2 linked regions of the Pelodiscus sinensis genome follow. The protein of the gene in region 2 purifies or fractionates together with the protein of the main gene of each other region. This does not show direct contact. Links are inferred from orthologs where the notes say so. Each region holds a gene or a part of one and is shown on either strand. Other genes may lie near its edges.

The links.
Region 1: the proteins of ARRDC1 (region 2) and HECW2 purify together in Homo sapiens (affinity purification with mass spectrometry; 3 studies listed by BioGRID and IntAct, counting the BioPlex papers as one, with this or other methods). This does not show direct contact. The link is inferred for Pelodiscus sinensis from reciprocal best matches to the Homo sapiens genes ARRDC1 and HECW2.

Annotation. Positions count from the first base shown.
Region 1 is NC_134717.1:71,009,131-71,024,472, forward strand, and holds the start of HECW2 (E3 ubiquitin-protein ligase HECW2), read right to left. Parts: upstream 10,191-15,342; 5' UTR 9,535-10,190; intron 7,095-9,534; coding exon of another isoform or gene 6,975-7,094; intron 5,883-6,974; coding exon of another isoform or gene 5,796-5,882; intron 5,490-5,795; coding exon of another isoform or gene 5,328-5,489; intron 5,243-5,327; coding exon of another isoform or gene 5,174-5,242; intron 4,417-5,173; coding exon of another isoform or gene 4,222-4,416; intron 3,521-4,221; coding exon of another isoform or gene 3,394-3,520; intron 2,540-3,393; coding exon of another isoform or gene 2,370-2,539; intron 1-2,369. Other genes in the region: CCDC150 (coiled-coil domain-containing protein 150), read left to right, coding at 2,370-2,539, 3,394-3,520, 4,222-4,416, 5,174-5,242, 5,328-5,489, 5,796-5,882, 6,975-7,094, 10,327-10,443. UniProt on the Homo sapiens protein: E3 ubiquitin-protein ligase that mediates ubiquitination of TP73. Acts to stabilize TP73 and enhance activation of transcription by TP73. Involved in the regulation of mitotic metaphase/anaphase transition.
Region 2 is NC_134732.1:3,455,882-3,471,718, reverse strand, and holds the start of ARRDC1 (arrestin domain-containing protein 1), read right to left. Parts: upstream 6,137-15,837; 5' UTR 6,018-6,136; coding exon 5,900-6,017; intron 1-5,899. UniProt on the Homo sapiens protein: Functions as an adapter recruiting ubiquitin-protein ligases to their specific substrates. Through an ubiquitination-dependent mechanism plays for instance a role in the incorporation of SLC11A2 into extracellular vesicles.

The sequences.
Region 1 (15,342 bases), on a different chromosome or scaffold from region 2:
CACCAAATGCCTTGTGAAAGATAAACTTCCAGCAGTCTTCAAATGGCAACAGTGAATGTGAAAAAAATTCTAAAATTTGTATTTCTTTCCCATGAATACAGGTTGGACCTCCTTGGTCCAGCACCCTTGGGACGTGATTGGTCCCCAGATGACGGATTTGGCCAGATCAGGGGAAGGTCATTTCTGGCTCCCCTGCTCCTGGCCCATCCTCCTGCCCTGCCACCCCACTGGGCTTCCCGACTCCCCTGGCAGCCCAGCTCGGTCATGTGCACTGGGTTTCCCACCTCCTCTCCACAATCCAGCTGGGCTTTATGCAGGCCCGCCCAGCTCTGCTCCCTCAGCCCAGTCGAGCTCTGTGCCAGGCTCCCAGTCCCATTCCACAGACAGGCTACATGTAGACTGCAGAGTTAAATCAGAAAAAGATACACAATTTGCAGTATGCAAATTATGTATCTTTTTCCAATCTTCTTTCGAAAGAGGCTTTTCTGAAATTTGTTGCATCTACATAGCGCCAAATTTCAGAAAAACCTCTTTAGACACATCCCTTATGCCTCGTAGAATGAGGTTTACAGGGATGGAAAAAGGGCACATCCGCTTTTCCGAAATTTTTTTCAGAAAAGTTGTCCCATTGCTTGGATAAGCAATCTTTAAGCAATCTGATACCTGTGGTATCCCGGAAAAGTGCTGCAGTCTAGATGTAGCCACACATACCTCTCGCAGTGAGCCAGGACTCTGATCCTGGAACATCCAGGAGATGTTGCTGGACCAAAGAGTTCTGGTTTATAGAACCTGTATCTTATTTTCTTCTTCATGTTATTCTCTTTTTTACTTCTCTTTTTAGTGGGAGCAGGAGGACATTGCTGCTTGCTTTTAATCTTAGAAATATTTAGTCTAGTCTTCTTTTTTTGCTGGAGGCATCTCTTGGCCAATGTCTATACCAGGAGAGATCACTGTGTTTAAAACCTGTTTTGTTTTAATACTTAAAGATACTTTTGTCTGTAATGTAGGCAGAGCAGGCCAAAGCTTATGCCTACCATGGGGAGCCTTCATTTTGGAAGAAAGCTTGATGTCTTGTGGAGCCTAGATGCAAAGCAGTGTGTGAATCTTGGTTTTCTGAAACACACTCTGAGGATTTCTCTCTAGCAAATACAAATAGTGTGTTTGCAGTCTCTGCTTACTAACTACCAATTGTGGGCAGCTGTTGGCCAGAGTTCCAGTCCAGCAAACTGATGCTGACTGGGGGAGATCCCTTGTGTTCTTACTGGAGAGGTGGTGAGGGAAGGGATGTTTATACAAGTTCTTTTCATTCAACTAACTAGAATCGTAGAATACTAGAACTGGAAGGAACCTTGGGAGATCATCAGATCCAGTCCCCTACCCTCACAGCAGGATCAAGCATGGTGTAGATCATCCCTGATAGATGTCTATCCAACCTGCTCTTAAATATCTCCAATGTTGGAGATTCCACAATCTCCCTGGGCAATTTATTCCAATGTTTAATCACCCTCACAGTTAGGAAGTTTTTTCTAATGTCCAACCTAAACCTCTCTTGCTGCAATTTAAGTCCATTGCTTCTTGTCTTATCATCAGAGGCCAAGGAGGACAATTTTTCTTCCTCCTCCTCGTATAACCCTTTTGGATACTTGAAAACTACTATAGTGTCCCCTCTCGGTCTTTTCTTTTCTAAACCAAAAAAGCTCAGTTCTTTCAGTCTTCCCTTGTAGGTCATGTACTCTAGACCTTTAATCATTTTTGTTGCTTTTCTCTGAACCTTCTCCAATTTCTCCACATCTTTCTTGAAATGTGTCACCCACAAATGGACATAGTACTCCAACTGAGGCCTAATCAGTGCACAGTAGACTGGAAGAATGACTTCTCATCTCTTGCTCACAACACTCCTGTTAATGCATCCCAGAATCATGTTTGCTTTTTTTGCAGCAGTATCACACTATTGACTTGTATTTAGCTTGTGGTCTGCTATGACCCCTAGATGCCTTTCTGCAGTACTTCTTCCTAGACAGTCACTTCCCATTCTGTATGTGTGAAACTGATTGTTCCTTCCTAAGTGGAGTACTTTGCATTTGTTCTTATTAAACTTCATCCTGTTTACCTCTGACCATTTCTCCCATTTGTCCAGATCATTTTGAATTATGACCCTACCCTAGAAGCACTTGCAATCCCTCCCAGCTTGGTATCATCTGGAAACTTAATAAGTGTACTCTCTATGCCATCATCTAAATCCCTGATGAAGATATTGAACAGAACCAGTCCCAAAACAGACCCCTGAAAAACCCATTTGTTATGCCCTTCCAACATGCCTAAAATATAAATAAGATTTCTCTCTCTCTTTCTCTCTCTTTACCCCTGAGGTGGATCCACTTTGTAAAGCACTAGATGTCGCTAGAGCGGATAACAAGAAACTTGCTTTGAGTTTGGAACAAGCTCTGCAGGCCAATAGTACCCTGCAGAGCAAGCTGATACATACTCGGGAAGAACTGGACAGAAAAGAAATTGAGCATCAGCAATTGATGGCCTGCAGGTAAGAACAAGTGCAAGGTGCTGTGGCTGAGGAACACTTTGCTTTTCCATTTCTAACTGCAGAGCTTGTGGTCCTTTCCATCCGTTTGTCGGCTGCCGAAACAATCTTCATGGCATGGGTGTTGAGCCAGTAGCTTGGTGGATTGATAGTGCAAAGCCACATGAATGAGCTGGTTGCCTTCTGATGTTGTGACTTCTCCAGGCTCCTCTGCAGTGTTAGAAGGCTGCAAATAGAACCTAGTCTTTCCTCTGGGCTGTGTGTGTTGAACAGTCCAGAGGAGCACTATGCTGCTGTTTGAGTGAGTGACATGCCTGCATAGCTGGCAGCACTTATCACTGACAGACTTGCAATATGGCTCTTGGCCCTTTACTGCCATCAGGGAATGGAAGCAGGGAAGAAGTCTGCCTCCTGGAAACCGCAGGCTGCTTGCCGATGGAAATCCTTCATGGTTTCCTTAGCAATGAGAAAGGCTTTGAGTTGGAGCAGTCTGCCTCATTCTCCTGGGTGAACTCTGCTGGCTGGCTTAGAGTAGCCACATGCTAGGACAGCTTCTCTCATGCAGGGAGAATCTATCTTGAATTGCTGTTTGGAGCTGCTGTTGAGGAACGGATTGTGGCTGAACCTGCAATTGAATGAACAGACTGAAATGTTTTAAAAGTCGCAGGCTCTTGACAAACATAATGTGGCCAAATGAATCCACCCAAGCAGAACCATCACTTTTTCCTGCTTCCTCCCCCCCCCCCCATTTTTTTTAATTTTTTTTTTTTGGTGGCCAGGTTTTTCCACTTGTATTGTTTACTAATTCACTCCGTATGGTTTATTTCCTTGAGAGTCTCTTTCTTCTTTCCATAAAGGGAGCAGCTTATTGAAGAAGCCAAGATGGAAGAAAAGGTGTATACTGAACGCTTGGAGGCCCTGAAGAAGCAGTTTCAGACTGAGCGAGAGGCTACAAGGAAAGCAAATTACAGGGAATCTGCTGAGGTGAGATGGAGCAGAATTGCAAGATTCCTTCTTTGGCCAGTTTCCTGAGAAGAGCTCTACTTCCCAATAATAAGAAAACAAGAGTGATCCATGATACTGCTTGTTTCCCTTTTGTGCTGCAGTATCATTTGAGAGCAACACAGAGAGTTTTGGCCTGCAGTGGACGACGTGATGTTCTGGTGGCGTAGCATAGTTAGTGATGGATTTATCATGTCTGTCCCCCCCCCCTTTTTGTGTGAAAACCTTACTTATTCCATAGGATCTAGAGGGGAATACAACCAAAGATTAATTAGAATATGGTTTCCAGGAAGGACCAAAAGACTATGTAGTATGAAGGTTATACGATGTTTGATTACAGCCTCCAAAGAGTACAAAATCCTTGTGATAAAAAAATGACATATGGGAGAGAAGTGGCAGGATAACAGCAGTCTCTGCTTCTTTGGTCTGTCGTGAGCTGTATTCTTTCTATAATTGTGTCCTCTGACCAAAGAAGTATTCAGAAACACAAGAGGTTAAGCTGTGCAGTCTTTCATTCCCTCTGAATAACTGAAAGATCCAACTTACCATCTACCTCATCACCTTCTAAATAGGGAACTGGGCACTCTTCCTCATGATGTTCATAAGAAATACATGTCATTGATTACCCTAGCTAGACATTTTTTGGAGTGAACATGAACTAACCTCTTCTGCATGCCTCCTAGCTAAAGAAAGCCCTTGAAGAGGCTTCTTCCAAGTCTGCTGAAGTGTCCCGAGCTAATAGGGAGCTGCGGCAGAAAGTAATGGAATTGGAAAAGTCATTGGTCAATTACAAGGGGAAGCTAAAGAGCCAAATGTCTCAAATCAGACAATACATGACCTCCAAGGCTAACAACATCCAGAACACACAGAAGATAAAGGTTTGTGCAGATACTTCTTCACTCTGAATAACCCTGTTCTTACACAATCTCTTCCCAGAATTGGAAGTGCTACTGCTGGACCTGTGCAATAGGGCCAGGATACAGGATACACCATGGTGTCAATAGGAGTCTGAATTTGTCAGTAAAAGCTTGGCCTGTTTCTTTTCCTTCTACATTACATATTGGTTTTCCTATGGAGTCATTCTACAGCTCAGTGGATCACTTCATGGCAGCCATTTGTTTCCCAGTTCACTGGATTGGGTAAGGCATATTTTTGCCAGTGGATGATTCTGAAGGGAAGGGCCAGCATTTTCTGGCTGCCTTTATGTCATCATATAAACAAATTATTTCCAGCCAGTAGAAAACCCATGGGTACCATGGGTTCCCTCTAATTTTTTCCGTTCATATGCGGAATAAATTTTATGTGCACTGCTGCATGTGCGGATGTGGATCTTCCCCAGTAGAAATACATGCTGTGGGCGCTCTGCCAATCAGTTGGGCAGTATTTGAATCTGTCCTGGGTGGCCACTCAAGCGCTGAGCTTCCAGGGTACATTGATGCCGGGCGCTTGGGCCTCTCTCTCCCTGCCTTAATGAAGATTCTCTGTGGTGGGCTCAGTGTCACTGTTGCCTGCTTGATCCCAGCAGAGTGTATGTTACTCGGTCACATAGTGAGGATGCGGTTTGGAGCAGCTCAAGCTCTGTCACATGATGCTATTTCACTGGAGCCTCCTGATTTAATTTAAAATTATTTTCAGGAGATTGAATCTGAGCTGAAGCAAATGGAGCTGATCAAGGAGCAGTATCAGAAGAAAAACTATGAGCAGGTAGGGCCCACTATACAACTTCCCCTCTCTGTAAAAGTAGAATCTGCATGAAGTCACTGAGATCTCATTTTTATGCCATCTCTAGGCACTAAGCATCCAGAAATTCATGACCGAGTTAACAAGTCTTCAGAGTGATATGCAGACCTTGGCCAAAAATCAGCATGAAGTGGCGACACAGAACAGGCAGCTGGAGACGCAGCTGGAAATGGAGCAGAAAGTGCGGCAGCAACTAGAGAACCAGTGTCAGGTAAAATCCAGCCTTGGACATACAGCATGATCTGTGCTGAATGATCCAGTCCAGGGGAGAGGAATATGTATTGCCTCTGAACATGTTGCCCGGCCACATCTGTAGGGTCCTATTGCTGATGGAGGGTGCTCGTGATTTCCTATTCCAAGGGGCCTTATATAGCTGCTTATTAGAACATTGTAATATTTCACCTATTGGGCTGGGAGTTATTCTACTGAAGTTTCCAGTCTATATTCCTGCTCATTTTGTTATACAGAAGTGGTTTGTGTTGTTGCCTGCATGGGGTTGTTACTTTTCTCTCTCCAGAAGCTAGAAGATACAGTCAAACACTTGAAGAAATGCAAAGAGGAAACTGAGCAGAAACTGAAAGAAGCCAGTGTAGAATCAGAACAGGTGAGTACAATGGTGGGAAAGAAGATATCTATCATCTGGTACAAAGCTAGAATTATCCTTCCTTTAGGATGACAAGATCTGTGACTGTACTTTACTTTCCACCTCATCAAAGGCCTGCTCTTAACACTTAGGGGCCCTCAGTGCATGACCCAAAAAACAGTTTATTTCTCCTCATGGCAATTGACTGATGTTTTTCCAGTCTCTTCTATTAGAGCTCTTAATAGCCTGGTACACAAATGATCATAGTTGAGTTGGGCCAGTAAGAAGAAGTTCTTTTTATTAGTTTCCACCTGGTTCAATGGCTTATGTCAACCTGCACTGTCATCACCATTAAGCAGTATGTGAGCTGTTGTGTTGTACCATTTTGAATGACATTAAACAGCTTCTCTTACAAGGTGATTCATATTTCACCTATGCACCTCTTTGCTTATTGAAAGCTGACAGTATTGCACAGTAATAGTCCAAAGCACAGTACCTTTCAGGAGTGTTACTACAGTGATTTGGTTCCAAATTGTAGAGTACTGTAGTTATTTTACAAGGGAGGTGTGCAATATAGGTAAGGGAGTAAGTAGCAAAGGACCTTTCAATTCAAACTCTACTCTTGGTAGCAGCAAGAGTATTATAGGATTATACTTAATAAGAGTTCTTGAAATAAATTGCTAACATAGTTGGAATGGTAATTTTACAATATTTTTTCTTTAAATGAGGCTGGTACCCGCACATTACCAAGCAAAGACCATGCTCTCCCATGTTTCTTCAGTGGGTTGCTGTAGTTAGCCTCCATTTTATACTCTTCCTCTACCACGTTCTTGATGCTTTTCCCTCCAGTTAGAATTGTCTTCTCTTGGGCTAGTGCTAATGAGAGGCTTAGTGAGTTAAGGGGGGACAGCACTGCAGGGTGGACCTTTCCACATCCTCTATGATGTTGCAGGAAGGAGGCGAGGATGCTCAAGTAATTTGCTCTACACTTACATAGACATGGGAGATTTAAAAGAAGCCTGTATTTGGAATCCTGCCTGTCCACTGTGGAGCCCAGAAGTTTGAAATGCTCACAGTTCTCTTTCTGACTCTAATCACTACTCTCTCCCTCAGATCACTGCTAACCTGGAGGAAGCTCACCGCTGGTTCAAATCTAAGTTTGACAGCCTGCAGCTAGAGCTAATGAAAAACAAACAGCAGAATATTCCCAGTGAAGGGAACTATGGCAAAGAGGTAATTAATGAGAGGATGAAGAACAGGGAACAAACAGCCTGTAGTAGAGTTTCCTGTGTATGTGAGGAACAAAGATATTAGTACAGCCAGGCAGTGATGTTGCAGGGCAGACTATGCTGGTACTTGCTGAAGTCAAGGTAATAGCAAGGCACTGTAACAGAAGTTTCCTGTGCAGAGATGAGTGGCAGTACTAGAAGAAAGCCAAACTTGTTCTGTTTGGATGCATAGAACATGGGTAGGAAACAATCTCTGAAGCACTGTAAGAAAACTCTGCCCCATTGTGAGATTTGGAAGTCATGTGTACTACAAAACAAAACTTCCCCTCCTCAAAGGAGAAGGCCTCAGACCAAACTTTCCCCATCTTTTCTATCTCGCTTCTTTAAAAAGTTAAAGGAGACCATCAGAACTTTGGTTTCTGAAGCCCTGTTTATTTTCTTCAGTTCCCATCATCCCACATCTTTCTCAGCCCAACTAGCATCATTTTGGGTCAGAAAAATACTAATTAGCCTTTGTTCTCTCACTGCCTGGTGCTGTTTCACATGATGTGCATATGACAAATGACATTTAATTAACCTACTAGGGCCAGGTGGGCACAGAAGATGAACAAGGGAGCCCCTTTCTCTCCACTTCCTTATCCTGCTCCTTTTCAACTATATTTCAAGTCTGAGTGAACTCCCTACCTCCAAAAAACACCTGTATTGAAAACTAGTAGCTGTTGCATGCCTTCCTCTCTTGCTCTTCTGCATGACTGCTGCCATTCCCCTCCTGACACACAATTCTGTACAGCCAGTTCTCCTTACTTTGCTTTGTATGGAGATGTCATAACCTTTGTTAAAGCTGTGCAAATTCCAGATAGCTATTGTCAAAGACAGGACTCACACATTTGTCAAACTGCTCTGTTTATTAGCAAAGCCGCTCTGCTAAATGCACCCAGAAAATGCGAGTGCCATACATAACGGGGCTGCCGACAAAAGGCTTTGATGTCGGCAGGGGGAACGTCCAGACTAGCGCGTGAGCCGACAAACAGCTGATCAGCTGTTTGTCGGCTCAGCGCAGCAGCCATGTAAATGTAAATGAAGCCACAATCATTTAAATCGCGGCTTCATTTGCCTTTGCCTGTCTTTGCCGACAGAGGCATGTAGTCTAGACACAGCCTTAGAGTTTGGTGGCAATGCTCTGCCACTGCTTGCAATTTGTCCATAGTCTTGGCCTCCCGTCCAACACTTATTTGCTTTAACATACTGCTAATAGCAGATAGGAGGCCAATAACAAACGCATGCGCCAGGGCGCCCTGTCCATTTTCACCCGGTCGCTGTATACCAGAATGTTGCAGGAAAAAAAAACCATCAGTCAGTCTGTGTGATAGTTGCCCGGGTTTTCTCTCTGTTGCTGTTTACGGCAATGTATGGCCGTCCAATTGGTTTTTGGAGTCCATACTTGGGGAATGGCCTCATGCAGGCACTTACCTTGATTCTTACATTTGTTCCAGTAGGCAGCGTCAGGACCAGTGTCTGGCAAATTAGAATGATGCTCAGTGGTGAGCCAATTTGCTATCAGGAGCCATTTTTTTTTGCTTGCTTGCTAGGGGTTATAAGTAGCTTACACAGTTGCAGGAGGTCTGCTTCAGAGGATTCTGCGAATTTGGTAGGGTTTTCCTGGGGCTTTGGAAAACCTTTTACAATTGAGTGGAACTCCGTGTGGGTCCAGGGTTTATAGCTCCAAGTGGGACCGGTCTGAGTCTTCTCGGAGGATGGGGTAAAGGGAAGCACTTGGTCTGGTGGTGGGAGAGGAGGTTTCCAATAAAGCTTTTTACTTACAATTAGAATTTTTTAGGGAGGCAAGCTTCGATTCAGTCCATCTAAGATTTGCCTCGTCCCACCACTGCATGAAGCAATCTACCTCTCCTCTAGCCAATTTAGTTTTGGGAAGGCCAAGTTTGTCTTTTAAGACGTCCACTTGGTCTTTGTTCCAAGATCCTAACAGTAGCCACTGAGTTTTGGGATCCCCCAGAGTCAATCTAGATCATTTTTCCAGAAATGTACAGGGGTCCAGACCCTTTCTAAAATATATAAACTGAGCCGGGGTCCCTTTAGGGAACTGCCCCCGCTTAGACGTCTGGTTACCCATACAGGAGGACTTCACACACCAATCACACAAGGAGGAGATTTGGGTTCGTCAGAGCGGTGCCCAGTGCAACACACAAAAGAAGCCCACAGGCTACTGCCTCAATCGCCCTTGCGTTCACTCCAAGGATTTTATCCAAGGTGCGGTGCGGCTGCGATTGTGCAGATTCCAGTCACACAGACCGCGGGGACAGGAGCCCCTTGGTCAGCCAGTCCCCGGCCAGGGATGGCTCCCAGACTCACTCACACCACAGGGAAGACGGATAGACACAGAGACAAGACAGTCCTCAGTCCGGACAAAACATAGAAATAATTACCTGACCAGAGTCCTGATGTTAGATCCCTGGATCCCTACCAGAACAGAGCGGGAACCAACAGGTTCGATGGCGTAGACTTCGCTGTGGTTGTGCACCTTTCCATTCTGGCAGAGGACCGCTCGGGCCAAATGCCCAGGTGCCGGCTGCCACGGTCATCCTGCAAGACAGTCAGAGATCACACAGCCTCAGCGAAGACGGTTGCCATCTCGGTGGAACCTCCAAATTGTCAAAGTCAGACAGGACTCACAGATTTGTCAGAGCGCTCTGTTTATTAGCAAAGCCGCTCTGCTAAATGCACCCAGAAAATGCGAGTGCCATACAAGGTTCAAACCCCTTGATTTATACAGTCAAAAGAAAGCCAAAATTAACAGGATTAAAAAGAGGGGCAAAACTTCACATAATTAGTGTGAGGCTAGTCAAGTATCTTCATTTCCACATCAAACACACAGCAATCTCCTGTCCATATCTCCTTGGTTATCTCAATTGCTTTCTCCCTAACACCTAATGTTCCTTTTCCTATTAACTCTGGCTAGCACTCTGATCTGCATACCTACAAACAACAAACATTAACATACTTTTCTTCTTCCTGTTCAGAGACAAACAGTATTCCTTCAACTTATTCAATTATTACAGCATAATTCATCTTTCTCTTACAGTATAATTCTTTCTACTTTCACATTATCTATCTGATTTGGCTGTAAAGATGGTATCTTGAGCTGCTGCAATCTCTGTATTTTCTGCTGGTGAGAGAAACAGGGATCAGCTTTCATCCAGTACCCTGTCCTCTAACAGATGGAAAAGGAAAAGACTGTGAAACTCCCTACCCAAGCCTCTGTGAATCGCTGGGAGACAAAACAGCAGCTCAAATTCATCTCCAGGAAGTACCAGGCTGAGCTAGACAGGAAGTGATGTCATGTAACCCAGGAGATTCTAAGTGCCATACCACCCTGCACCTGTGAGTGCCACAGTTCAGATCAGATCTTCACATGCTGGAAAAACTAAGATTGAAGCATCTTGATCTATAGGTATCTGCATATTTCAGAAGATTTCTGAGTGGGTATAAGCTGAGATCCTATATGTACTGGATCTACTCTGTATCAAAGAGGAAGACCCTCCAAATAAAATTAACATTTTCTGGCTGGCTGATGGGAGATCAGTGCAGACAGGTTTTATGTACTCCAGTTCACCTTAGCTAACAAGTCTCACCTGTCTGACATTTGTTAGCATGTATCATTTTGTAATGCAGATTTCCATTTCCCCCATCCTAGCATGGTCTCTGAATCTGACTAGTTTCTTTAAATGTTTCATCATGGAACCAAGATTAGCAAAAACATAGTTTATAGCAAAGAAATTATTCCTCTCTAAAGCTTCTTGTACAAGTCCCATTTATGTGCTAGATTTTTGTCTCCAGTCACATCTTTCATTTGTGTTTTAGCAGCTCATAGGTGGGTAGCTGGTTAGAATGACCCTGTAAAGTGAGCAGGATTCATTATTATTGAGAGCTAGGATTGCAGTGCTGCGGTTCTGCTTATCCAGGTTGGTGTGCTGGATTTGTAGACTAGCAATGGTAAACTTACTGAAACAGGACAATTGTCTACTGTTGGATACTGATGGTTGTCTGACCAGTACATTGAGGAACCCTTTTTAGCTCATGGGAACAGCTACCGTTAGTAGCAATAAAAGGAGTCACAGACCTGTGAATCATAGGAGGACAATGCTCTGTGGAAGTTGCAGGAGCCCTGGCTTTGCTTAAGGCTCTGTTGCTGGAAACAGCTTCGTATGGGTGTGACAGGCTGCCAGCTAGAACACCTTGCACTATTGGTAGTCTGCGATTTAATAGATTTAATTCTGCTGCACCTTGGAACAAGTAGCCTAAAGGGCCAGGAGGTGGTCAAAACAGGTGCTATACACCAGGACTGTGTCTACACTGGGCCACTTATTCCGGAAAATCAGCCGCTTTTCCGGAATAAGCTGCGAGCTGTCTACACTGGCCCTTGAATTTCTGGAAAAGCAACGATGCTCTACTGTACAAAATCAGCTGCTATTCCGGAAAAACTATTCTGCTCCTGCTCGGGCATAAGTCCTTATTCCGGAACACTGTTCCGGAAAAGGGCCAGTGTAGACAGCCCAGTAGTCTTTGCCGGAAAAAAGCCCCGATCACGAAATGTAGACGCTCCTTTTCCGGAAAAACTGAAAAGGGAATAGTATTTTAAGCATTTCCGGAAATTCATGCCAGTGTAGACACAGCCCAGTACTTGCAGTGTTAAGACTTTAACTATTCATCTTATTATATGGAAGCAAACAATTTTCATGCACTGTTCAATTAATGCACACTTAAGAGTAACTCAGATTCCCTTAAGACCCTTATACTGTAACCCAGCTACATCAGATGTGCTGTTATACACCTAGGCTGTGTCTACATTGGCACCCTTTTCCAGAAAAGGGATGCTAATGGGACACTTCGGAATTGCAAATGCCGCAGGGGATTTAAATATCCACCGCAGCATTTGCATGAACATGGCTGCCGCTTTATTCTGGCTCGGGGCTTTGCCGGAGAAAAGCGTCAGTCTAGATGGGATCTTTCGGAAATTAAAGCCTTTTCCAGAAGATCCCTTATTCCTGATTTTAAGAGGAATAAAGGATCTTTCAGAAAAGGCTTTATTTTCCGCAAGATCCCGTCTAGACTGGCGCTTTTCTCCGGCAAAGCCCCGAGCCGGAAAAAAGCGGCAGCCATGTTCATGCAAATGCTGCGGTGGATATTTAAATCCCCCTCGGCATTTGCAATTCCGACTTCTCATTAGCATCCCTTTTCCGAAAAGGGTGCCAATGTAGACACAGCCCTAGTTTTTTAAATTTAATAATTGAAGAGCTGTTTGCTAGGCTTCCTCCAGTTCTCTGATCCATTTGTTTCTGTGGGGCTAGTTTGAAACTCTGTGAGTCAGAGGCTATGCCTTCCTCTGTGATGTGTACAGGGCCAAGCATATTGCTGGAGCTTAGCAAATAATCATCTCATCCATTTTAATTTATACTGTCCTTAGGATTGTATGACAGCTGCCAGGGCCTGCTCCTGCCACTAGTGCTGTTACTCAGCATTTTGCCATTGATGTCAGTGAAAATCCCTTAGTGATAAAGAACTTGATTTGGAAACCTAATAAAGCGGATAGGTATCTTTAATTAACTTCAGTGGCCTTATCCTATTATGTTGCTGAAATTCCTAAGTTTTCAATACCTTGTTCCTCTTCCCAACCTAACAGTGGTAAGCTGAGTTTCTGCATCTCACCTCACTTAATGACAGGTTAAAATGAGCCTATGTATGGGATTTTGTTCCACAGCCCTGTTCGCCTCTCTTAGTCCTCTCAGGTCAGCATAAGTAGTGAGTGTATCTCTGCTAACTGTAGCCCAAGGACTAGTTTGGAAGCCCAAACTAAGTTAGAGTGGCACTGACTGCTTTACCTCCCACTGCACCAGTCTGATCTAGTGAACTGTATGGATAACTCTTAATACCAGAAAACACACTTCCCTTTAGCTGGAAAGAGATGCTATGAGGTACCGTCCAGCAGCCAGGGAGACTGCTACATCCAGTTTCCTTTAGTAGGAGGTGTTGCTTACCAGTGAGCCATTCTTTTACTGATTAGTGGGCAGGGGCAAGTCCTTTCCGCAGGCCAGATTATCACAGATATAAGCCAGTAGAGTAGAGAGAGAGAGAGAGAGAGAGAGAGAGAGAGAGAGAGTGTGTGTGTGTGTGTGTGTGTGTGTGTGTGATTGCTTTGTAGAGATATCTAATATGCTGATTTTGTATTTAAATAGTTATTAAATCTGCTTTAATTTTTACAGTATTTGCAACTTGTCATTCTGCTCTGTAGTGTATGCAGCCTATTATTTCTTTTAAACAAGAACACAATAAGCACTTGACTTGAAGGCTGTGTCTACATTGGCACCCTTTCCGGAAAAGGGATGCTAATGAGACAATTCAGAATTGCAAATTCTACGGGGGATTTAAATATCCCCCGCGGCATTTGCATGAACATGGCTGCCTCTTTTTTCCAGCTCGGGGTTTTGCCAGAGAAAAGCGCCAGTCTAGACGGGATCTTGCGGAAAATAAGCCCTACTTGAAAGTAGGAATAAGGGATCTTCCGGAAAAGGGCTTATTTTCCGCAAGATCCCGTCTAGACTGGCGCTTTTCTCCAGCAAAACCCCGAGCCGGAAAAAAGCGGCAGCCATGTTCATGCAAATGCCGCGGGGGATGTTTAAATCCCCCGTGGAATTTGCAATTCCGAAGTGTCTCATTAGCATCCCTTTTCCGGAAAGGGTGCCAGTGTAGACACAGCCGAGGTGTTTAGGACTGAGTGCGGTGAGACACTTGGCACAGTCTATAGCAGGAGTTGGCAACCTATGGCTTGGAAGTCAAATATGGCTCACTAGGGCTCTTCTGGAGCCCCAGCTTAGCCCCACTCCACAGCTCCCCCCATTGTAGGGAGCCAGCACTGCTGCTACAGCCTTTGGCCCCAGCAAGACTGGAATGCCAGTGCTGGCTTCCTGCAGGGGGGAAAAAAGCCCTGATCCTTCCCATTGGATCTGGCATGCAGGGAACAAGTGGAGCAAAACGTGTCTGGGTGCACTGCTCTTTTCCCTCCCTCAGCATGCAGGAAACAGAGAAAAATGGCTCCATGTGCACTGCCCTTTTCTGTCCCCTAGGAAACACTTCTCTGGAAGCTTCCCCTGCAAATACTTACTGCGGGCTTCTAGGGAATGGGAACGGGGAGGCCGTGTTACATGGTACCTCCCATGCAGCACGAACACAAGTAAGTGCCCTATGCCCAGACCCCAGCATCCTCACTCGCTGCCCCCCACCCCGCCAGCCAAACACCTCTGCCCCCAGTTCCCTGGCCAGAATCCCCCTTAGCCAGGCCGCCTGATCCCAACCCACTCCTGCTCCCTACCCAAGTAGTCTGCCCCGACCAGACCTCGCCCCCTTACCCCTCTCCTCCTGCCCAGATCCTGCACTCCCATCCCTATCCCATTGACTGGCAGCCCTGTCCCACACACTTAACCCCTCATTCTTGGCCCCACCCCAGAGCCTATTGGGGCCCAGAAAATCTACTAACCCTGGAACCCCAGAAAAGAAAATCTAGCTTGAGGCCTTGAACTTAAGTCTTTCCTGCCCCTCCCCCCACTATGGAGCACCAGGAGTGTGAAGTGTTTCAGTAGGGAGCTACATCAGTGAGAGTTGGGGGTTTCTGGAGGGTTTTTTTTACTTTTGGGGTCCCTGATGGATTTTTCTGTGGGTCAGCGGCCCCTAACCCAGAATTGTTCCCCACTCCTGCCATAAATAAAGACAATGTTGATACCTTTCATGTTGACTATAATATTTTACTTTATTTAAAAATGAAGTCTGGCCAACAAGGCCCCAATTGGGGCCCAGCCCCCATCTTTCCACAGCATCATAACACTCCTGCACCCTCCACATGCCCCAACCCTGAGCCCATTACCATTATAGCTGTGGCTGGCTTGGGTGTACATCCTGTCCTCCCACCCATGGTACAGGGTGGTGACTGTTCCTCCCAGCATCCTATGCTCCTTGGACTGGTGGCTCCAGGAGGAAGCGGTCTGCACGGGAATCCCATTTTCCCAGCACTGCCATCAGTCAAGCTAGCAACAGATGCACCCGACACTACATGGAGAGCCCATATTGGGGACATGAGGATGCAAGGTAAGTGGTCCCAGGAGGAACTCTCCCTACACACAAACATCCGGGAGTTATGAACAGCCCATCTCACAGGTCAGCTGTTCCTCCCCCTCCTCAGGGGC
Region 2 (15,837 bases):
AAGTTTCCTCCCATGAGCAGAATGGATTTTGTGTTGTGAACCTGTACTGAGTTCATGTGGCTTGTTTCAATATGCCACTGTGGCACCCTAGTTAATAAATATGTTTAAACCTTAACCTTTTCTCTCTGCTGCCATGTCTCCTCCCCTTGGTCCATCAGCTCTCCTGGTGCCTGCTGCCCCCTCAACTCCTCACCCTCCTCTGCTGTCCTGACTCCTGCCCTTCTCACTGCCCTCAGCCCTCCTGGACCTACCCCCCTCCACTAGCCCTTCTCTCCCCACTGTGCCCACTCCTCCAGTAGCCCCACTCTAATCATGGGAGCTACCCCTACTCATCCCCTCTTCTAACACCTCCCTCCACACACCTGCCCTGCCTCTTTCCTCTGGTGCTGGTCCCTCCCCTGCAGGTGTCTGCCCTTCTGCTTCACCCCCAGAATTCCCTGGCACCTGCACTCTCTCTTAGCCTGGCACCCTCCTGGTGCCTCCCCCTTCCCTTACTATCCTGCCCCCTTTTTCCCTGATGCCCACCCCCCTCACCACTCTCTGCCCCCATTCTCCTCCTGCCCTTCTGTGCTCTCATACACAACTTGCTCCATCCCCACCTCTCATGCCCACTCCTTCTTTCAAGCCTTCTCCCAGCAACTCCCTCTCCAGCCCCCAATGCCCTTCCCTTCTCCAGCATCACCCTGTCGTCCCCCCCCTCCCACTGACACCTCCCCTCCTGCCCTTTTCCCTGCACTTGCCCCCCTGGCATTTGTTTCTCCTCCACCCTGTCTCTTGGTCCCTTCCTCTTTCCCCCCCCCCCCGCTCCCCCTAGTTTTCCCTCTCCCCTACCTTCTGCCTTCCACTTTGCAGGCCCTGGACTCTACACTCAGGCCCTGCACTCCAAACCCAGAGCTGCTAAGCCACGCCACGCCGAGCACTTTTAAATTCCCGGGCCGTAATGTCACATCATGCCCGGGCGTCCCCCCCGTCCACCTGAGAACACTGCACATGGCAGCAGCAGCTGCCGCCAGCAAAGGGGAGCCGCACCGAGAGCCGCGCATGGCAGGGACGGGGTTCAGGGGGATGCTCTGGGGGTGGGGTGGGTTCATGCGTGGGGGGGCCGGCAGGTGGGGGCCCGGGCTCGCTCCAGGCAGAGCCGGGGGAGAGACCCAGCTCCAAATATTGCTGGAGCAGGGCCCCAGCTCTGAATAGTAACTCGCTTGGCGCCTGGCACACTTCTGGGTTCAGGACATGGGGCCCGATTCGGGGGAAATCAGGCGAATCAGCCTAAGGCCGGCCCTGCCCTGCTCTCCTGTGACTGGGAGGGGAGCACGTACACAGCGTGCTGTCCTGGCTCCCCATGGGGGCAGGGAAGGGGCATGGCCTCAGAAGAAGGGGTGGGGCTGGAGGAGGGGCTATGGGCTTGCCTCCCCCAGAGGTGCCTTCACCCACCGCCCATGCTCAAGGCCTTAAAAAAAAAAAAACAGTACAACTGGGGGCTGGGGGGCACTTTTTCCAAACAAGGGGTCATAGAACCTTTGAGCTCTGTTCTATGGGGCAAAGGAAACCCTGACGGAAGGCAAAGGGAGAAAACTTCTGCAGAAAGTCTCGTTGCTAATGGCGGCTCCACGTGCCGACAGTAGAGTCAGTAGCCTGGGGTAACCATGGTTACCTCAGTTGGCCAATAATGCATCAGGGCTCGTTGGACTAGTTCGACAGAACCCTGATGCTACGGCTCTGCCCTGTTTGCGGGAGTAGGTTCTCAGGAAGAGAGAAGATGGGGGAGAAGGGGGGAGCAGTCAGAGGTTATTGGGGATGTGACCATGTAGCTGAGAACAGGGTTAACCAATAACCCTCTCGGTTACACACAATCCTCCTCTCCCTCCACTTCCCCATAGCACCTTTGTGTCAGAGGCAGAAGTGCAGGGGGAAGGTGGGAGCCGATACATGCAGGGAACCAGCTTCTGCAAAAATCCCTCTGCACTTCCTCTTCCACCTCCCAGCTCTATTACAGAAGCGATATGGAGCAGGGGGAGGAAGGGAGCTGGCTTTGCTGCCCCCACCTCACATGTAAACTTATCTGCTGAAAAATGTCAGCGATACACATTTACACAAAGAAATGCATTTTAACATCCCTAGTGGCTACTGCATTAGAAGTCTCATGCTGAAAGTAGCATTTCCTAATGAGAGTGGATGTAAACACATCATCACCGAGCCTCTAACTATTTCTGTACAATAGCTTTTTCAGAAGCCAGAAAAAGAAAAAAAGAAAAACACCAAGGTCCAATGGGAGAGGAGTTTTAAAATGAGACAGGCATACTTGCTTCAAGTCTACAGCAACTCTGTTTTCTAGACAAGGTCACAGAACAAGGCCCCTGACCAGAAGGACTAAGAATCTAAATACTTGGAAACAGTCCCAAGATTCAAAGACAGCAGCCAGGAGAATAGGAAGGGGGAGAGGGGGGGGGGGGGGAGAGGAAAAGAGACTCAGACTTAAGGGAAAAAGCAAGAAAGAATAATTTGCATTTCTGTATCATGCGGGCGATCAAAGCTCTTTGCAAACAAACAATGAAGGGGGGGGGGGGGAGAGATGCTAATACTTCACAAAGAGGAGAAACAGGTACTGACAAGAGTCACACAGGAAGCCTGTAGCAGAGTTAAGAACCAAGCTCACATATTCCAACCCCCATCCAATTAACCATTCCTTCTAGCCTATAGATTATAGGATGAAGCTCTGTTTTATACTAAGGAAGTTCTCCGAGGTAACATTGCATCACTAACTGTTCCATTCCATGGTGTCTGCAGGTCGCTAACATCAGCACAGCTGACTTAGCATTAATGACAGGAAGGGGTTTAAATTCCTTTTTAAAAAAGTTTTAGGAGTCCCCCCAGGATAGACAGGGCCTTAGAGTTTGGAATCCTTCTCTGAAAATGACCAGTCTAAGTCAAAGTCTTACAATCGGCCGCAATCCAGTGCACACACAGTACAGGATTCACTGACTCTAAGAAGAGTTTTGTGGTAGTTAATTTATTAGTGAGGTGCAGCTGCACTCAGGGCTCTTCCTCAACTATAGCCAGTGGGCCTAGCACAAACACCACGCTGCCTACCCCCATCACCGCTGTCTGGGAAAGGAGAGGGGAGAAATGAGGCCAAGTCACACATCAGGAGCCTCCAGACAGCAACAGGCCTGATTCTCGTTTATTAGTCAAAGCCCAACTGGTCCCAAGGGAAGATGCTGAAGTGGGACTTTCACCGCACACTGGAGCATGAGCTCTTCACCAAGGGAGCTGCTTCTACAGAGGTCTTCAGAGGCCACTGCAACTTGGAAGCCACATAGACTGAACAGCACGGGCAGTGGAAGAGCGAGGATCCTCTGGACCCAGCCATGGGCTTTGTCTCTAAGCTACTCAATTTGTCATCTCTTTAATCTCATGTTTGACTAAGCAGTTAGGTTGGGGTTTTTTTTTGGGGGGGGGGGGGGAGAGCAGGAGACTATTCTCTGCAAGGTCCCTATACACAGCCTCTTTCCCCACTCCCTTACATGGGGCTGTAACAGAACTATTGGCTGTAAAGCAAGACACACACACTTCCAACAGTTCTGACTGAGCATCTTCCATGCGGATGATGCAGTAACCTCTTAAAGCAAACCCATAAATCAGTCACAATTAAAACACACAACAGAAATCAGAGCAAATAGCCATACAACCTAGCCTCTCCTGCCATACACATGCTACAATGACAACAGGGTTCAACACTTGGTCACAGTTCAAGTATTTTCCACAATAGTTTGGCCTCTAAACACAGAGAGATGCCACCTTAGGACCAAGTATTAACATGTGCTCCAACCCAGCTAGCTATGACTTACGACAAGCTGGGACAAACTGGAAACAAGCCAGCACCCAGATATTAAACTTCATGCTTCCGATCTTAGCTAAAAGGAAGAGGTCTAGTGGTGGGAGGAGGGGAGGAGAAGGAGGGAGAAATGGGCAGAGGACAGTTTCTCTCAGTGTACTGTAGGATTTTTTTGCAGCCAATATTGGAGACAGTACTGGAGTACATGGACCCTGGAGTACTGGAGTACATGGACTTCCTACATTCCAAACCCCAAGAATTCCCTACACTTTATGGGGAAGCTCAGAATCAGATCTTAACTGCTTGTGCCAAGGTCCGTCTCCAGTAAGATCACAGCTAGATGATGGGTCAACACTACATGTCTGTTTTAGGGTTTATAGCAGGGCTGAGCAAGAATTCTTGGAGTGGCTCTCCATCAAGATTTTGGTAAGTGATTAAGGAGCTGCACTTTTCTATGGAGGGAGCGTGAGGTCTGGGCCAGAGGTTGGGTGTAGAAGGGAGCCCAGGGTAGGGGACTGGGGAGCAGAAGAGAGTGTGGGGTGTGAAAGGAAGTTTGGGTGAAGGAGGGGGAGTTGTGACTTGGGGTGCAGGATCCAGGAGGGGATATGGGAATGGGGGAGGAGAGACATAATGCGCGGCCCCTGCCCCCAGCACGCTCACCACAGCTCCCATTGGCCAGCTGATGCCATGCCTACAGGCACCGGGCAGACAGCCTGCCTGAGAGTCCAGGCGGGCTGGATCCAAAGACTTGGCAAGCTGGACATGACCTGCATTTTGCCCACCCCTGGTTTACAGCATCCGAGGTGCCTTCCCCCAAGTAAAGGCTGTTAAGAGTCGTGCCAGAAACACCTGAAATCGAGAAGGGTCCTAGCAACAGCTCTCCAGCCCAAGTCTGAAAGGGGAGCATGCGCACACACCTTTGCTTTGTCCAGATACAGCTCACACCAAACCCAGGTGGGAGAGAAATTAAATTACATACACAGGGAAACAACATGTGGTCCCCTGGCACCTTAGAGACTAAGCAGAATATACAGAATCAACAGCAAAACCCACTTCAGATGAACTGGAGGGGAAATAACAGAGAGAGACAGACAGTGAGTAAACTGTTGCTAACGCAGGCTATGCTTAAACACCCCAAAGCTATCCTGAGTCCCAGCACGCACCTACCCTTAGAGCAAGTTCTCTTCGTGCTGCCCGTGAGAGATTTTTTAAAAAACCAAACAAAAAACCCCCCACACGCAGAAGGGAAACTCCTCCGTCCCCACCCCCAGACGAAAAGGGAGGCAAGAGAACGGAGGAGAGGCTGGAGGAGGGCGGCCAAGTCCTAGCCACAGGAGGTGGGATGAAACAACACAAAGCCCCACCAGCGAGGGGATGGGCTGGATGCCTCCAAAACTGCCCCCCCCCCCCCCCAGCAGACTTCGCTGAAAATCCATCTCTTGCGAGTCACCAGGCAGGCAGCTTCTAGTCAAGCGGCGTGGGGGCGGAGGGGAAGCAGTTTACAGAGGCCCAACCTGTTCACACTGAGCTCAGCCTTTAAGTGCAGGGATGGACCCGGAGGGCAACAGGGGAGCCTGCGAGCGGTGAGGCTCCGGTACCGGGAGGCCAAGTAAGGGGCGCAGGTACCGCGGCGGACAAGCTCGCAGCCTTAGGGTCCTGCACCCGGAAAAACGCAATGGGCGAGGAGAAAGGCACGGCACTGCGGCAGGGAAGCTCGCAGCTCCAGGAGCACGCTGTTCGGGGCAGAGGGGTCCCGCTGCCCGGGGATACGGGGGGGGGCGGCACTGCGGCGGGGAAGCTCGCAGCTCCAGGAGCACGCTGTTCGGGGCAGAGGGGGCCCGCTGCCCGGGGATACGGGGGGGGGGGGGCGGCACTGCGGCAGGGAAGCTCGCAGCCCTAGGAGCACGCTGTTCGGGGCAGAGGGGTCCCGCCGCCCGGGGATAGGGGGGGGGGGGCGGCACTGCGGCGGGGAAGCTCGCAGCCCTAGGAGCACGCTGTTCGGGGCAGAGGGGGCCCGCTGCCCGGGGATACGGGGGGGGGCGGCACTGCGGCGGGGAAGCTCACCGCGGTACTGCAGGCTCCCGGAGAGGCGCACGGTGACGCTGCCGGCCAGCGGCTCCCCGGGGCTGTAGACGACCCGGCTCTCGCTCAGGCGGATCTCGAAGAGCTGCACCTTCCCCATGGCCGGGCCTCCCGCGGCTGCTCCCCGCAGGGCTCGGGCGGCGGCGGCTGCTCGCTGGCTGGCTCGGGGGAGGCTCCTACCTGCTGCGAGTGACGCGCCAGCCGGCCACGGCCCAGCCCCTTAAAGAGCCAGCGCCGCCCCGCCCAGCCCTGCCCCGGGGCGGTACGCGGGGGGGGGGGGGGGTCTAGCAGCTGTGGCCCCAGACGCGGGGTCCCTCCCACCGCGCCCCCCATCCCCGCGCTGCGGCCGGAGGAGGAGGGACCCCAGCCCGGCAGGCTGAGATCGGGACCCAGCCGGGAACCAAGCCAGTTTCCAAGCACCAAACCAACTGCCCCAGTGGCTAGGGGCAAAGGCACTGAGCCAAATGCCCCAGGTCCTGCCATGCATGGGCTTGTATAATTTTTGGTGGTGCCCCATTAGCCACGCCCCCGTGCCCTGTTAGCCACGCCCCCTTACACCCCCTTAGCCACGCCTCTGACCCCCCCCCTTTTAGCCATGCCTCTGGCGGTAACACAGAGGGGGCAAGATGGACACATGACCAGAAGTAAAAGATGTCATGTCACTCCTCTCCAAGAGCTTTTCCCACCATCCGCCTACCAACAGGGATTAGATTGGCCCCCACCAAACCGCCCGCATGCAACTATCCTGCAGTTGCATTAACCCAATGTGTGTGACATTAACTCGGGGCAGAGAGGCTGGGGGAAGGGTTCCCTCTAAGGCTCTGTCTACGCTCGCGGCTTCTTGCACAAGTACAGCTGTTCTTGTGCAAGAACCCACAGAGCAGCCACACTGCCTGCCTGCTCTTGCGCAAGGAAATTTACAGTACGGCGTGGTAAGAGAGGGCGTCTTGCGCAAGAGCTATGCTCTTTTCTAACAAGTGTAAGCTCTCTTGCGCAAGAGGGCAGTGTGGATGCTTGGCAGGGATTTCTTGCGCAAGAAACCCCTATGGCTAAAATGGCACAGCTCGCACATGGCACTGTAGACGTGCTTGCACAAGAGATCTTGCACTAGAACCCTTACGCAAGATGTTCTTGTGCAAGAAGCCGCCAGTGTAGAAATAGCCTAAGAGTTTCCTCCCATGAGCAGAATGAATTTTGTGTTGTGCACCAGTACTGAGTTCATGTGGCTTGTTTGGATGACAGCAGAGGAGGGTGAGGAGTTGGGGTGGGAAGTAGCAGGCACCAGGGGAGCTGATGGAACAAGGGGAGGAGACATGGCAGCAGAGAGAAAAGGTTAAGGTTTAAAAATATTTATTAATAACTTGGGGGCCACAGTGGCACTGCCCTTCTCACTGCCCTCAGCGCTCCTGCAACCTGCCCCCCTCCACCAGCCCTTCTCTCCCCCTTGTGCCCACTCCTCCAGTAGCCCCACTCTGATCACGTGAGCTACCCCGCCTCATCCTCTCTCCTAACACCTCCCTCTACAAACTTGCCCTGCCTCTCTCCTTTGGTGCTGGTTCCTCCCCTGCAGGTGTCTACCCTTCTGCTTCACCCCCTGGTGGGCAGGAGCCAGGTTGTAAGTATGCTCTGTCCCCAGTCCGAGGGAGGGAGCATAGGATACCCCAAGTATGCTCCCTCCCTCCCTGCCTGTCCTGTGGCACCATCCCTGCTGTGTTTGCTGGCAGATTGTGGACACTGGAAGAATAAATAAACTCTGTTCATCCACCGAACAGGTACAGCACAGGTAGCCGCAGTACAAGCTTCCCCCGGCTGCTCAAAACCTCAACTCAGACTTTTACCTGGCTCCAAGTCGCTATGAGCCTTTATTTTGTTGTCCTGGGTCTCTCTGTGATGGGAGGGAGGCAAGAACTGTGAGTCATGCTGGTGGTTTCCTGTGATGAGAGCAGCTCCCCAGTACAAATTGCCTTGAAACCCCACTTAGCAGCTACTAGCTGGGTTGATTATCACCAACCTGGCGGGATTCACACTGCGGATGGAAGTCTTGGCTCTTCTGGCACATTGCGTAGTCGCCTGCCATTGCAGTAGCATTGGCACAGTCCCACTAGTAGTAGAGAAAGGGCTCTGTCCCATTAAGGATCCCAGCCCCAGTGGCTTTCATCCAAGGCATTTTAGCAAGGCTAATCATGAAGCTTCACCAGGACTCTTGGAAGTCAGTAAGCATAGAATGATTGGGCGAGATGGCAGGGCCGGCAGGTATAAGAGGCATGGGAAGATGTTGCCTTCCCACACTACCAGGCTTGGCCTCACCCACACTGGGCCACCAGAATGCCAACGTGGAGCCATGCTGAAGCAGTAGGCATTCTGGGGGTGGAGTGTTGCTGCCCACGGGCTTCAGCCATGCTGAGACTGCGGATGCTGGGGCAGCTCCGGGGCCAGGGAGGCTGGGGACACATTCCAGGGAGGCTTTGGGCAGAAGGGGTGAAGCTGGGAGCTTGCTTCCCCCAACCTTACGCTCACCCACCGCCCATAGTAGAAGGGACTAAGTCATCCAGGGTGTGTCTAAACTACATGGCTCCCTCGATGGAGCCATGTAGATTAGGCTGATCGGCAAAGGGAAATGAAGCTGCGATTTAAATAATCGCGTCTTCATTTAAATTTAAATGGCTGCCACTCTGAGCCGACAAACAGCTGATCAGCTGTTTGTTGGCTCAGCGTGCTAGTCTGGATGCTCCCACACCGACCTGAAAGCCCTTTATCGACCTCCTCGTTATGCCTCGTAGGATGAGGTTTACCGGGGAGGTCGATAAAGGGCTTTCATGTCGGCAGGGGAGCGTCCAGACTGCCCCGATCTGCCGACAAACAGTTGATCGGCAGAGCGGGGCAGCCATTTAAATTTAAATGAAGCCATGATTATTTAAATCGTGGCTTCATTTCCCTTTGCCGAACAAACAAATCTACATGGCTCCATCAATGGAGCCATGTAATTTAGACGTACCCCTAGTGCCAAGACACAGGCTTGATGAGTCTAAACCACCCAAAACAGTGGTCTATCCAGTTTCCTCTTTCAAAACTTCCAGTGAGGCCTCTGTTCCATTGTCCTACTGGTCTTACAGTTAGGAAGTTTTCCCTTGAGATTTAATCTAAATCTGCTCTGCTTATCTGCAGCTACATGAATGCCCTGAAAGCTCAATGCTTATCTAACAGCACATAAAGAAGCATGAGGAATAATATTTTCAGAGTGAGCTGGTGAACAAAAGGATGTTTTGTTCACTGTTTTTAATTACATATTTTCTGTTTAATTTGAATTTTTACTCATTTTGGGGGCAAAAATGTCTACAGAAAATTATGTTTTTTAAAATTGTTCTGAAATGTTTTCATGCGATTGTGTATGTCTAAATCCCACTTTCTCTTCTTTTTAAAAACATCTCCCTCCCCGCTTTTTTCCCACTGGAAAAAAAGAGAAATGTAAAAAAATATGAGGAAGAATTCTAAAACAAAGTTTTTATTTGGAAAGTTAATTGAAAAACTAAACATGCCAAGGAATATGAAATTTTTCCTGGAGAAATGTAATTTGTCAGAATCCCAGATTAAAAAAACAAATAACCACATCTGTTTACAATTTTTGGTCCCAAGCACACCTTCTTCTACCTGGGGAGCAAAGAGTAGCTGTACTTATAAGATGAGGAAACCAATGTACACGTGCAAAGATGAGTCATAAGTGTGAAATATTATTAGTATATCTACTATCTACCCCAGAGTGTTTGTCTGTTTGTTCAAGAAATCCTCTTACACTATAAGAGCTAGGACCACCAAATTTGGTATACAGTTTCCTCTTACCAAACTTACAGCAACGTAAGGGTTTGGTTGTGCCAGAAAAGTGGGATGTGCCTGGAATGGGATTGCTTCTCAGAAAACCAAACAGAAAAGAGGTACAATCACCAAGTACGTGAAAGGGGCTGGCTGGGGATGCAACCCCCCTCCAATATAGGACTGCCCCAGCTCTGAGCCTTCCACCCCCAAATGCCCTTTCGGAGAGGTGGGGGCTGAAGCTCTCCCCCAGATTCATACAGGGACATTGCTGGCTGTTCCCCTACATTAGGGAGCAAGGGGAAAGTCCACAGTCCTCACTCCAGCTGGGAGTGCAGGGGGCAGACAAGCTGTGTACTTTGCTCTAACTTCCTGACAGGGCCAGGACGGGGAAGAGCAAGCAGACCTGGTACAAATCTTGACAGGGGGTGGGGACTTTGGTCCTCTCCTCTCCACACACCCAGTCCACTGCCCAGAGTCCCTCCTCACTCCTGCACCCCCAAGATCCCCACGCCTTTAGGGATCTGAGCTATGCCAGGTATAGGAGCTAGGGGGAAGGTGTAATAGCTAAAGCTCAGGAGTTTTCTTCTGAATCAGATCTAAGTGCCATTCCTTAGTCATCTCTTCCTGTGTGACTTGGGCCAGTTGTGTCAGTCACTTCTCTGCGCTTCAGTTTCTCCACCTACAAGCGGAGGAGTGTTGTACCTTACCAAGGGAGGCTGTGAGGCTGAATTTGTGAGGCAACCAGCGACCTCAGTGAGAAACGCTGTAAAAATGTCCCTAAATAACTCCGTCATGCCTGACAAGTACATACACATAGGCCAGTTATGTGAGCCCATCCAGGTGCTCTTTCTTTGTAGTGCAATTGCAAATCACAGGGCCATTTCCAGATGATGTGTGGATCTAGAGATGTGATGGGGGAGCTTTGGCACGCTCTGTGGATTTCATATACTGATGAGCACTGGACATCATTCCTTGGTCACTTATCGTTCCTAGGCAATGTATAAACACTGCAGAGAAAGCAGTGCAGAGAACCGGAACTCCCATAACATCATAAGTCAGGCACGTCAGCTATAGTCATGGGGGGGGAGAGAAAAATGCTAGTAGAGACAAAGCCAAGATAGCTAAAGCTTAGAGATGGGCTGAATTGGGCCCTTGGATTTATATCAGAAAGAAGATCAAGAGGCGACTTGATTACAGCATTTAGGCTCCCTCACAGGTACTAACAGCCAGCTAAGGACTTGGGCCTGTCTGGATCTTTCCTACTTCTGTTGCTGCTGTTTGTAGATGAAGTGGCAAATGCCAGAGTATTCCAGGTGAAATCGCACCACTAATGGATTCTAACACTTCCCTCACCGTCCTTGGTCTTCTCAGCGCTGAAGTTTCTTAGTTTTCTTAGCTGATGTTTTGACCACCGCGCCAGATTGCTTTTATTTATGTATGATAGCACCCAGCATGGCCTACGGCCCAAAAACACAACACAACCAAGCTGAGGTCTGCAGTGAGGTATTCTCTGTGACACCTACATTTTTTCCCAGTAAGTTGCTGTTAACCCTTGAACCATCGGTGTATTATTTTTGATTCTCTGTGTTGCCATTGCCCCTAGGGGAATCCTAGCCACCAAGCAGGATGCTAGTCATAGAGTTTAAAGCCACACAAGACCATTAGATTATCCAGTCCAATGGTTACCTCTCTCTCTCTAAATATATATATATATACACACACCTCATAGAGCTGGAAGGGACCTGGAGAAGTCATCAAGTATAGTCCCCTGCCCTCATGGCAGGACCAAGTACCCTCCCTGATAGATTTGCCCCAGATCCCTAAATGGCCCCTTCAAAGATTGAACTTACAACCATGGACTTAGCAGGCCAATGCTCAAACCACTGAGCTATCCCTCCTCCTAAGCTGTGGGTTGGGACCTCAAAGTGGGTCTGCATGGCTCCCAGATCCCTGCAGCTCCTAGGTGCAGATGTTCAGGGGGGCTCCACACTCTACCGCTACCCCAAGCACCAGTTCTGCAACTGGCAATGTCCGGGAACTCCAGCCAATGGAGTTGCAGGAGGAGCTGTGCCTATGGGCACGTGGCGCTTCCATCGCTCCCCGCATGGACCTGTAGGCCGTTTCCTGGGTGCCATCTTAGGTAAGCGCTGCCCAGACACTGCACACACCCCGTACCCCAGACCCCTATCTCAGTCCCTCTCTGCACCCTGAACCTCTCGGCCCCAGCCCGGAGCCCCTCCTGGACCCAAACTCCCTCCCGCACCCAAACTCCCTCCCAGGGCCCACACCCTCACCCACACTCCGAACCCCTGAGCCTCAGTTCAGAGCCCCCTCCCTTATCCCAGTTCCTCATTCCCAGCCCCTGCCCTCCCCACAGCCTGCACCCCTAGCTGCAGCCCTCACCCCTTCCCTCCCCCAACCCCCAAAGCCAGATTGCAGAAAGGGAGGGACGGAGAAGGGAGGGGGAATGGCGCAAGGGGGCGGAACAAAGGTCTTTGGTTTTGGGCCCTTAGAAATTTGGCAACCCCAGCTCACAGGACTCAGGTTTTTACCACAACCTTGTAGCCCGCTGAGGTGAAGGAGGGCTACTCCTGCGGCCCACTCACTGGCCTAGCTTGCCCCTTGCTGCCTTACTCAGGCAGCACTTGCTCACCTCAGGGTGCATCCACACTGCACCGGTTTTCTGGAATAACGGCCGTTATTCCGGAAAAACAATACTAGCGTCCACACTGCAATTGCGTTATTTCAAAAGAAAATCGAAATAACGGGGGGGCTTTTTCCAACGCTGGTCAACCCCATTCTGTGAGGAGTGAGGCCTCTTCTGAAAAAGCTTTTTTGGAAGGAGGGGTGGGGACGCCTCGCTGCTATGTCAAAATAGCCCCTCCCTGGGGCCATTCTAAAGTTATTCCTCCCTCGTGTCTCCTGGGGCTCTATCCAAATAGAGCGTCCGCATTAGGGGAGCCGGCCTCGGGCTAATTTTGAGGCTTCCCTGCAGTGTGGACGCTCTATTTCGAAATAAGCTATTCTGGAAGATATCTTCCGGAATAGCTTTTTCCTAAATAAGCTTGCAGTGTAGACGTACCCTCAGGGGGTGCTGTGAGAACAGGCCAGATTTCTGCTTCCCTCTCTGAAGGGAAGCGTCTCGTTGTGACGTAGGCATTAAAACACAAAGAGTGGGCCAATGGCTAGGTGGGAATCTCTCTTCCCTCCCACTGTAGAGCCTCAGCCCCGGGCCGAGTGGGCGTTAGTTTCTCAGTGGTCTTCTACGAGCCCAGCAAAGAGCAGGCCTCGCTCCACCTGAGAAGCTGTCACTGAAGTGAGCAGGGCATCGTCTGTGAGGGCTGAATTACAATGGAGGAGCAGACTCTGAGACCATGATCCCAGTGAATCGTCTCTTAGGCCTTGTCTTCACTGCCGACAAAGTCGTGTCCTTAACACACGTTAGCCAGCCCCAGTTCAAATTCTAGCAAAGGCAAGGCAGCTAGGGTTGCCAGGTAGACCCCACCAAAATACTGGATGCACTTGGTCGTGGGCGGGGGGGGGGGGGGGCAGAACCAGCCGGGAGGGGGTGGGGCGGGAAGCAGAGCTGGCGGGGGGAGGTCCGGGGGCTGCGGGGCTAGACGGGAGGAAGCGGGGAATGGGGGGGTGGGAAGCAGAGCTGGTGGGGGGGGGGGTCCGGGGGCTAGACAGGAGGAAGGGGGGATGGGGGGTGGGAGGCAGAGCTGGCGGGGAGGGTCCGGGGGCTAGACAGGAGGAAGGGGGGATGGGGGGTGGGAGGCAGAGCTGGCGGGGGGGGTCCGGGGGCTAGACAGGAGGAGGGGGAGGGGGAGGTGCTGGGAGCCTCTGCCCCCGCCCAGCTTCTGCACACAACCAGAGGTTCCCAGCGGGGAGGCGGGGCCGCGATTGGCGCTGGGAGCCTCTGGTTGTGCATAGAATCCGGGCGGGGGGAGTGGCTGGGAGTCCTGGCCCCCGCCCTGCCCGGCTTTTGCACGCAACCATAGGCTCCTAGAGCCAATCGTGGCCCTGCCTCCCAGTTTCTCCCCCGCCCCTGCCAGGCTTCCATCCAGCATCCAGACGGGAATTCAGAAAATACCACACATTGCACGTGTCCGGTATTTTCTGAATTTTCCTACTGGACAGACGGTGCAAATACCGAACTGTCTGGTAGAAAACTGGACACCTGGCAACCCTAAGCAGCAGCAGTTCTAGCACAAGCCAGCAGACTCAGGGCCAGCCCACAACATTTTGGCACCTGAGGTGAGGAGCTCAAATGATGCCCCCATGTCCCCTCGCTTGGGCCAAAACTTTGAAAGGTCTCAGTTCTGCCTCCTTCCTGTTCTACATGTTTTGTTTGTCTATAAAGTGCTACCAGACCATTTGCTTGCTGGTTTTTTTCTGTAACCGACTAACTCGGCTACCCCCTGATATCCCAATAAAGGAGAACTAACAACTTAAAATGCCTTGTTCAAAAAGTGTGAACTAGTGGTGCCTCCCCCAGTCTGGCACCTGAGGCGGCCACCTCAGTTCACCTCATGGTAAGGCCAGCCCTGAGCAGACCGTGTCAGAGACGAGCCTGGGGTTCAACTCGACCCACTGCCTTGTCTTGTCTCACGTCCCAGCTTGGGTGAGCCAAACGGAGCCAAGAACACACCCTTTTCCCCTCTGCTACAAGCAGCACCATGGGGGTGTGAGCGGTGGGCTGGGCTAGCCTCCCTGAATATGACCCATACATACCCAGATCCACTAGCCCTTCCCACCATCTGTGCAACCATGGCTGCCATTCCCAGCGTGCTAACGGGCTCAAAACCAGCATGAGCACATCACCCCAATTTCCAGCGTAGACGCACACACCAGGAAGCCAAGGCCCCTATCCAAAAATCATCCCATCAACTTCTCTGGGACCAGCTGTGCAGCAAGGTGTACGAGCCAGGTATCAGAACCTGGCTCAGGATTTGATGCAATCTGCCCGACTGTGTGTCCTTGACTCACCGTGGGGTGAAACGCTCCCCGCTGCTTCCAGCCTATTTTGAGGGGTGAACTTGAGAGGATCCCCTACTCACACAAGTGGTTCAGCTGGGACGGCAGCCCCCCCAGGGTAAGCGAGACTTGCACCACTGGCTCCGAATTAACCAAAACCAAGTTAAGTTAAAAGTAAATTGGCTTTCCTCCTCCCTACCCGCCGAGATTTAACTACTTCCCGAAACTTACAAAAACAGCCCGCAAGGCGGGAGAAAAACTCTGCCCACCTCAGGTCAGCCTTTCCCCCTGAAAGAAGGATGCTCTAGACCAGGGGTCTCCAAACTACGGCCCGGGGGCCGGATGCGGCCCGCGAGGCCCTCTCATCCGGCCCGTGGAGACCTTTTTGGATTCAAAGGCAGAAGAAGTGAGATTGTTTCAAAACCCATTTGAAGCAGATGTGGCCAGTTGCCCAGATGAACTGCAGCTGGAAGTCATTGAGTTGCAAGCAAATGACCTCCTTAGGGACAAGTTCAAAATAGGACTGGTGGGTTTTTACCAGTTTTTGCCCAAGGAAGACTTTCCTAATGTCAAAACTTTTGCATCAAGGTACCTTTCAATCTTTGGAACAACATACCTGTGTGAACAAACATTTTCAAGAATGAAATACGTGAAGAACAATTTGAGAACAAACTTGTCCGATGATAATCTCAGGTCACTGTTGATGTTAGGGACAACAAATCTAAAGCCAGAAATGTCTGCTATTTTGGCATCCAGGAAACAATTTCACCATTCACACTAATACAGGTGTTCATGTGTAGTGTATCAATGTGTTATTAAATAATAACTGAATAAAATAATATTAAATAAATAATTAACAACATCCATGTTTTGATTGTTTTTTATTTGGACCTCAAGTGTGTAGTCGGCCCCCGAACTGCTGTTTGATAGTTAATGCGGCCCTCGGGCTGAAAAGTTTGGAGACCCCTGCTCTAGACCTTCAGGAGCCTGCTGCCTTCAGCTCAGGAGGCTGGGATTCAATTCCCAGCTGCACTCGACTTCCTGTGTGACCCCAGCTCCCTGGGTTCAGTTCCCCAGCTGTAAAATAGGAAGGCTAGCACGGCCCTAGAGGGGTTGCTGGGGGGTAATGACAA